2 linked regions of the Ovis aries genome follow. The protein of the gene in region 2 purifies or fractionates together with the protein of the main gene of each other region. This does not show direct contact. Links are inferred from orthologs where the notes say so. Each region holds a gene or a part of one and is shown on either strand. Other genes may lie near its edges.

Evidence for each region.
Region 1: the proteins of PSMD14 (region 2) and UBE3C purify together in Homo sapiens (affinity purification with mass spectrometry; 4 studies listed by BioGRID, with this or other methods). This does not show direct contact. The link is inferred for Ovis aries from reciprocal best matches to the Homo sapiens genes PSMD14 and UBE3C.

Annotation. Positions count from the first base shown.
Region 1 is NC_056057.1:120,081,470-120,085,121, forward strand, and holds part of UBE3C (ubiquitin-protein ligase E3C), read left to right. Parts: intron 1-155; coding exon 156-309; intron 310-723; coding exon 724-944; intron 945-1,426; coding exon 1,427-1,584; intron 1,585-3,652. UniProt on the Homo sapiens protein: E3 ubiquitin-protein ligase that specifically catalyzes 'Lys-29'- and 'Lys-48'-linked polyubiquitin chains.
Region 2 is NC_056055.1:148,389,554-148,393,205, reverse strand, and holds part of PSMD14 (26S proteasome non-ATPase regulatory subunit 14), read left to right. Parts: intron 1-2,148; coding exon 2,149-2,274; intron 2,275-3,652.

The sequences.
Region 1 (3,652 bases), on a different chromosome or scaffold from region 2:
AAAAACTAACTTGAATTTGGACTTATGGAGATTTATAAAGAGCAGTTAAAAATTGCCAAGTTTGTTTTCCCCTTGTTGTAAAAAAAAAAAAAAGATAGGGGTATTGATATTTTAATACAAATTGATACAACTTATAAATTTTTTTTTTCTTTCAGGGTATTATAGATCTCTCTATTTGTTAATTAACAGCAAGCTTCCATCAAGTATTGAATATTCTGATTTATCTCGAGTTCCTATAGCAAAAATTTTGCTAGAGAATGTTTTAAAACCATTGCACTTTACGTACAACTCCTGTCCAGAAGGTGCAAGGTGAGAATGAAATCAGTTTATTGATTTTGTAATTCCGCAAGATCTGTATCTAACTAACTTTGACACAGGGTGCTGTCTGAAATATGGACTTGAAAGTCAGTTTTGCTTTATTAGTGTGACTCAGTTTAAAGAAAAATATACTTTTTCTATCTGGCCTGCACCCAACATAAATTTATAATTCTGGTGACCTGGTTATTTTCTTGCTTTCTAGTAGCTATCAGAAGATAGAAAAATATAGCAAAGTCTTGTTTTTTTTTTTTTTAATAGGAATAATAGAGCATTAAGTTTAGGGTGCTCTAGTTAATCTGAAAAACTTGACTGACGAAAAGGTTATTTTGTGTGCAGTGATTTTATCAATGATTTTGTGGACAGCGTATTTTGATTTTATTACGAGCTTCCATTTTTCTTCATTAGGCAACAGGTTTTTACAGCCTTCACGAAGGAGGTCCTGACGGCCCCCTTCACGGAGCAGGTCTTCCACTTCGTCATCCCTGCCCTGGCGGACCCACGGGCCGTCTTCCCCTACGAGCCCTTCCTGACCGCACTGCTGTCCCTGGAGGGCAGGCGCCCCGCCACCAGTGGGGGCGCGCCCTGGCTCTTCTACTTCGTCTTAACCGTTGGTGACAATTATTTGGGTATGAAACATAGGGTGTCCCGCTGAGCTCACGTAGAGGCAGCATGCGTAGATGGGAGCAGGGCGGGGCGGGGTGCATGGCCGGGTGTCCCCTTGTCAGCACGGCCTCTGGGGGAGGAGCTCCTCGGAAGAGCAGGTTTGCTTAAGGCCGTGGCCTGGCCAGTGTCCCCGGGCATAGTGTCCGGGCAGGATGAAAAGTCTGATTTAACAGGGCCACACAGGTTAAAACGAGTCTTAGGGTTGGATGGGCCGATCTCTGAGTGCGGGGCTGCTCTCCCCCATCTGTGCTAAGCTGCTGGGCTGCCTGGCATAGCATTTGGGTATCTTATGCTAAAATACTTGAGTGCCCACATCTGCACGCGAAATATTAGAGATGTGATGTGTGTCCTGGTCAGAAATGCCTCTCGGAGTTCAGGAGAAGCGGTCCCCCGCATCTGCCAGTTTCTCACCCCTCCTAACTAACGGTGTGGCTGTCTCACCAAGGCGCGCTCTCCGAGGATGGGCTGCTGGCGCACCTGCGAGTCCTCCAGGCCCTCCTGTCCCAGCTGCCCGTCTCGCCCACCCGCGCCAGCGGCCAGGATGCAGCCAGCGACTCAGACGAAGAGGAGGGGGAGGAGGCCGACAGGCCGGCCAGCGCTCCGGTGAGCCCCCAGCTGTGCGTGTGCACGCCCTGTGCTCCCCAGGCCTCTTCCTTACACCCACGCTCACACGTATGGGCACGCGCAGCTGTGCGTCTGCTTTCTGGTGTAAACCAGGAGTACAGTCTGTCAGTTGAGCTTGCTGTCCAGTTGCTCAGTCGTGGCCGACTCTTCGCAACCCCGTGGACTGCAGCAGGCCAGGGTGCCCTGTCCTTCACCACCTCCCGGAGTGTGCTCAGATTCATGTCCGTTGAGTCGGCGATGACATCTAGCCACTTCATCCTCTGCCACCCCCTTCTCCCTTTGCCTTCAGTCTTGCCCAGAATCAAGGTCTTTTCCAACGCAGAGACGTGCAGTCTTATGTTTGGCCTTTCAGTGCCAAGTAGGGACACCACTCTTCAAGTGAAGCTATTGGTTTAGAAGGTTAAGCTCCTGTTTACAGGAGGAGCACTTACTGTGTGCCAGGCACTATTCCACTCTTTTATTTTTATTTTTAAGAATTTTTAAAAATAACAGCTTGATTGACATACATTTTTCCATAAAATTCACCCTTTTATTTTTTAAAATAAATTCTTACCTGTCTGTTTTTTGTTTGTTTGTTTGTTTGTTTTGCTTCACAGCATGTGGATCTTGTAAGATCTCTTAGTTCCCCACCCAGGAATTGAATCTGTGCCTTCTGCAGTGGAAGTACAGAGTCCTAACCACTGGACCACCAGGAAAGTCCCAGAATGAGCCCACTTAAAGTGACACACTGCTCAGGGACTTTGCAGTGCATGAACATAGCTAGGCATCTGTCCCACTGAGCCTAGACCGTCTTCATCACTCCGCAGAGATGCTCCGGTCAGGCCCTCTCCTGCTTCTCCTCCCCGGCCCCTAAAAGAAAAGCAGGGCAGGTTTCCTCTTAACTGTCTCTTGAACACTGCAGAGCCTCTCTGGTCTTTTTCACAGGTTTTATGGATGGTAACCGTTACGATTCACTTTGAAACTCATTTCATGCACGTTGTCACATTTTATCTCCGCGTTCCCCTTCTCCCTCTTCTTACCTAGCAGTGCTTCCTGTGTGTTTTCAAGGAATAAAAACCTCATGTCACACACGCTGTTTGTCTTACCTGAGTGGTGTAGTCTGCCACTGATGTCTCTTTCTCTTAATTACACAATTGCAGTGCCTTGAGGTGTGGCTGAACTAGGTTTAAGGTTTTTGTTTGTTTGTTTTGTTTAGAATATGTCTCTTTGGTTGGTGCCAAGTCTAGTCCCAGGAAAATGCCCTTGAGAACATGCTGGGGGGAGGGGGAGCAGGGGGTGGAGCAGAAGGGCTCAGAGGCTCCCTTAGCAGAGAGGAAGCCAGCCCAGCAGAGGGATGGGGGCAGCCGGTGTGGCCAGCGCAGGGCTTGTTACAGAGGGCGGATCCGAGGGTTCTGATGGGCGCTGGGGCTCTTGCTACGTCTTGTCACAACTCAGATGCAAAGAAGTGTGAATTGTATGGTCAAAAAAAAGTGAGATCTGATAGATGAAAAGTTGATAAAACTTCTGTTTTCAGAAGACAGTTTGTTCATACTTACCTTCTAGAGACTGTGTGACATTTAAATATTACCTGTGTAGGCACACCTCATTTTATTATATTTCTCAGCTACTCTGCTTTTATACGTTAAAGGTTTTTGTCAGTTCTGTGTTGTCAGATGATAGTGAGCATTTTTAGCAATAAAACATTTTTAAATTAAGGTAGGTGCATTGTTTTATTAGAGATTGCCATCACATTATGCACTTCCTAGGCTACAATAGGGAGAAGGCAATGGCACCCCACTGCAGTGCTCTTGTCTGGAAAATCCCATGGACGGAGGAGACTGGAAGGCTGCAGTCCATGCGGTCGCTGAGGGTCGGACATGACTGAGAGACTTCACTTTCCCTTTCATGCATTGGAGAAGGAAATGGCAACCCACTCCAGTGTTCTTGCCTGGAGAATCCCAGGGACGGGGCAGCCTGGTGGGCTGCCATCTGTGGGGTCGCACAGAGTCAGACATGACTGAAGCGACTCAGCAGCAGCAGCAGGCTACAAGAGAGGGTGAACAGTTTT
Region 2 (3,652 bases):
TCCATCTAATTACATCAGACTTTCTTTTTCTTCTTTCTTTTATAGTATCCATTCTTGATACCTTAGCTACCATCCTTGATATAAAAAAAGCACACATATAAATAATTAATTAATAGTATATTTATATTCCTAGCATAGCTCAGTTCATGTGCTTTCTTAATGTCAAAAGCCCCTGCCTTTATTCTTGTCCCACCAACCTGTATACTTAACTCCAAGTCTTACCTGAGGGGCCCAGTGCAATCCTTGTCCAGGCAGGGTGGGATATTCTGCTCATTGGGAAATTTTTTGGTTTGCTTTTGATGTGTACAAAAAGCCTGTTCTCAACAATCATAGGTAGCTTTATAACATTGGTATATATAGCTATATAGCATTTATAGCTTTATAGCATTCCCTGGGTTGGGAAGATCCTCTGGAGAAGGAAATGGCAACTCACTCTAGTATTCTTGCTTGGAGAATTCCATGGACAGAGGAACCTGGTGGGCTACAGTCCATGGGGGTCACAAAGAGCTGGACACAACTGAGCGAATAACACTTTCACTTTCTTATAACATTGGTAGTTGCAGCTGCACCAAAATTTCCTGAAGATGTATTTTCTAAAACATTATCCATGGTGTAGATGGGAAGCAAAGAAATTGGGCTACATGTTCAGGAGTTTTCCAGGTGTTTTCAAACTACTCTTGCCTCCATGAGCCCTAGGGGAGCAATCAGGGAATTTGGAGCTTTTGTGTCTTGAAAGTTCTCATAGATGATTTTGACTTGTAGCTTATTCTTCAGCATAAGGAAAACTTTGTACTGATTTTAGCTGCAAACAGTTCTTTTAAACTAAACTCACTTCTGACTATGTCTTTAGAGCCTCATGCCTTGTGGATCTCACTTAAAGTATACTGCTTCTAGGACCTACTGTATTGCACAGGGAACTCTGTTTAATGGTATATGACAGCCTGGATGGGAGGGGACGTTGGGGGAGAATGGTTATATGTATACGTATGGCTGAGTCCATTTGCTGTTCCCCTGAATCTAATCGGTACACCCCAATATAAAATAAAAAGTTAAATAAAGTATACTGGTTTTCATAGCAAGAAAACATCAATCATTCTGTAGCCACCATTTTTTTGATCTTGTGTAATTTTATCATTTAGAAAACTCTTCTTCTTCACTGGTAGTCCTCAACTGAAGGACATTATTTATAGAATAGGACTTTTAAGAAAAACTGTCTTAGGAATTTGAACTTGAAAACTGATGAATTTCCAAGAATATGTCCTCAGAACTACGAGTCCAATTTAAGAAATAATGAGCTAAGGTGTTTAGTTCCGTGATCATTAATAGGATCTGATCCTAGTTTGCTGATGTGATTGCAAACTGGATGAATCTGATTTTCTTCCCAGTTTTATGACTTTTCATTTTGATATAAAATTTAAATTTAAGAAGTTATAGACAGAATATTAAAATTTGAAGGAAACTTGGAGATTATCTATAAGCCTTCAATTCATAGATACTGTAAACAAAGGCTCAGAAAGACTGACACAAAGTCATTCAGTAAATAGGAGCATTTACCTCCTTATCTTGGTATTTGAAAGCTGGGCTATATGAACTGTTAGAAATCCTGTGCATAACATAGTAGTTTCATTCATTCAGTATATACTTATTGATTATATTCTATGATTAGAGTATGATCTAGATTCTAGAATCTAGATCTTGGTGATCTTGAATTAAAGTCCTTGCCCTGTTGATTTCTCTTTAGTGAGAAAGAAATGCACTAAACAAGAAAACACAAGTTTCAGCTGTTTATAGTGTTATAAAAATAATAAACAGGTTAAGGAAAGAAAGATGTTTAGGATAGTGTGGAGTGGCTTTTTTATAAGGTGGTGAGAAGTGGCATCTATCTCTAAGGAAGTGAGAAAAGTAAGCTATAGAAAGATAAAGAAAACAGCCTTTGAGGCAGAGGGACTGCAAAGGCCATGGGGTTGGAGTATTCCTTAGAGTTTTGTTAATATAGATTTAGGAGGATACTCTTTAGGGTTTATTTAAATTAATAAAATTAAATTTAAATTCATTAATTCCAAAAGTTGTTTGTGAAGTTGTTTTTCAAGACATAAAGGAAATTTCTTCAGTATAGAAGCATAATTAATTTTTCTTTGTGTTTTTTAGATGTTATTAAATTTGCATAAGAAGAGTTGGATGGAAGGTTTGACACTTCAGGACTACAGTGAACACTGTAAACATAATGAATCAGTGGTAAAAGAGATGTTGGAATTAGCAAAAAATTACAATAAGGTAAAAACTTATTTTCAGCGTTTATTTCTTATAACCTTTAGAATATGTGCAGTTAGATATCAGGCATTATATAAACAGTTAAAAGCAGAGTGGCCTATTTCATAGATCAAACAGTAAATATTTTAGGCTGTACAGGCCATCCCAGCCATCCAGTCTGTTGCAACTACTCAACTCTGCGGTTACAGAGTAAAAGTAGCCACAGACAGTAAATACACAAAGGAATGCGTGAAGCTGTGTCTTAGTAAAATCGGCATCCAGCGAGATTTGACTCATGGCCTGTAGTTAGCCAGCCCCGGTTGTAGACCGTGTAAAATGGTCTTGTACATTTGAAATCTCTCCATTACTCAGAGGACTTTTTCTTGAAAGGGAAGGAGGAACAAGGAGATGTGAACAACAGCAGCATTTAACACTTCATAACACGTAACGTGAAGTTTCCTGTTTTTCATTAAATAAGTATTTATTGGAAACCAGTTAGATAGATGTCAGGCTCTGGGGGTATAGTAAGAAATAAGACCTATCCTCGTGGAATTTATTTTCTGGCAGAGGAAACAGAAAGTCAACAAATAAACACAACACAATACATTATAATTAGTGCTGTGAAGACAGTGAACAGGATGATATAAAGGAGAAGAGCAAGGGGAGACCACTTCATATGAGGATGTAAGAAAAGTGATACTTTTGAGAATCTCCTAAAAATGTTTATTGTACGCTAAAGTGTAGGTGGCTCAGTGGTAAAGAATCCGCCTGCCAATGTAGGAGACATAGAAGACCTGGATTCGATTCCTGGTTCGGGAAGATCCCCTGGAATAGGAAATGGCAAACCACTCCAGTATTCTTGCCTGGGAAATCTCATGGTCAGAAGAGCCTGGCAGGGTACAGTCCATAGGGTTGCAAAAAGTCAGATGTGATTGAAAGACTGATCACATGCGCACACACACACAAGTATACGTGGTCACGATAATGTTTTATTCACAGATTTCTGTTCTTTTACAATCTGAAGCTCGAAGTCCAAAATCAAGGTATTGGGAGGGCCTTACTCCTTGTGCAGCCTCTAGCAGGGGAGCGTCCTTCTTTTCCTTTTCCAGCTTCTCTTGGTCCCCAGGTATTCTTTGGCTTGTGGCAGCATAATTCTAAGCTATAACCAAGGTTATGATTTCAATATATCCTTTTAGGGCGGACATGGTTCAACTCATAACGTGTTTTTCTACTTTTTTGACAAAAATCCATATAAAGAATAGATTTTACATTTCAACCCAGTACATGCAATGTATTTGTACGTATGTGTATATATTACAACAGAAGTAAAGTGAAGTGAAAGTCACTCAGTTGTGTCTGACTCTCTGCAAGCCCATGGGACTATACGGTTCATGGAATTCTC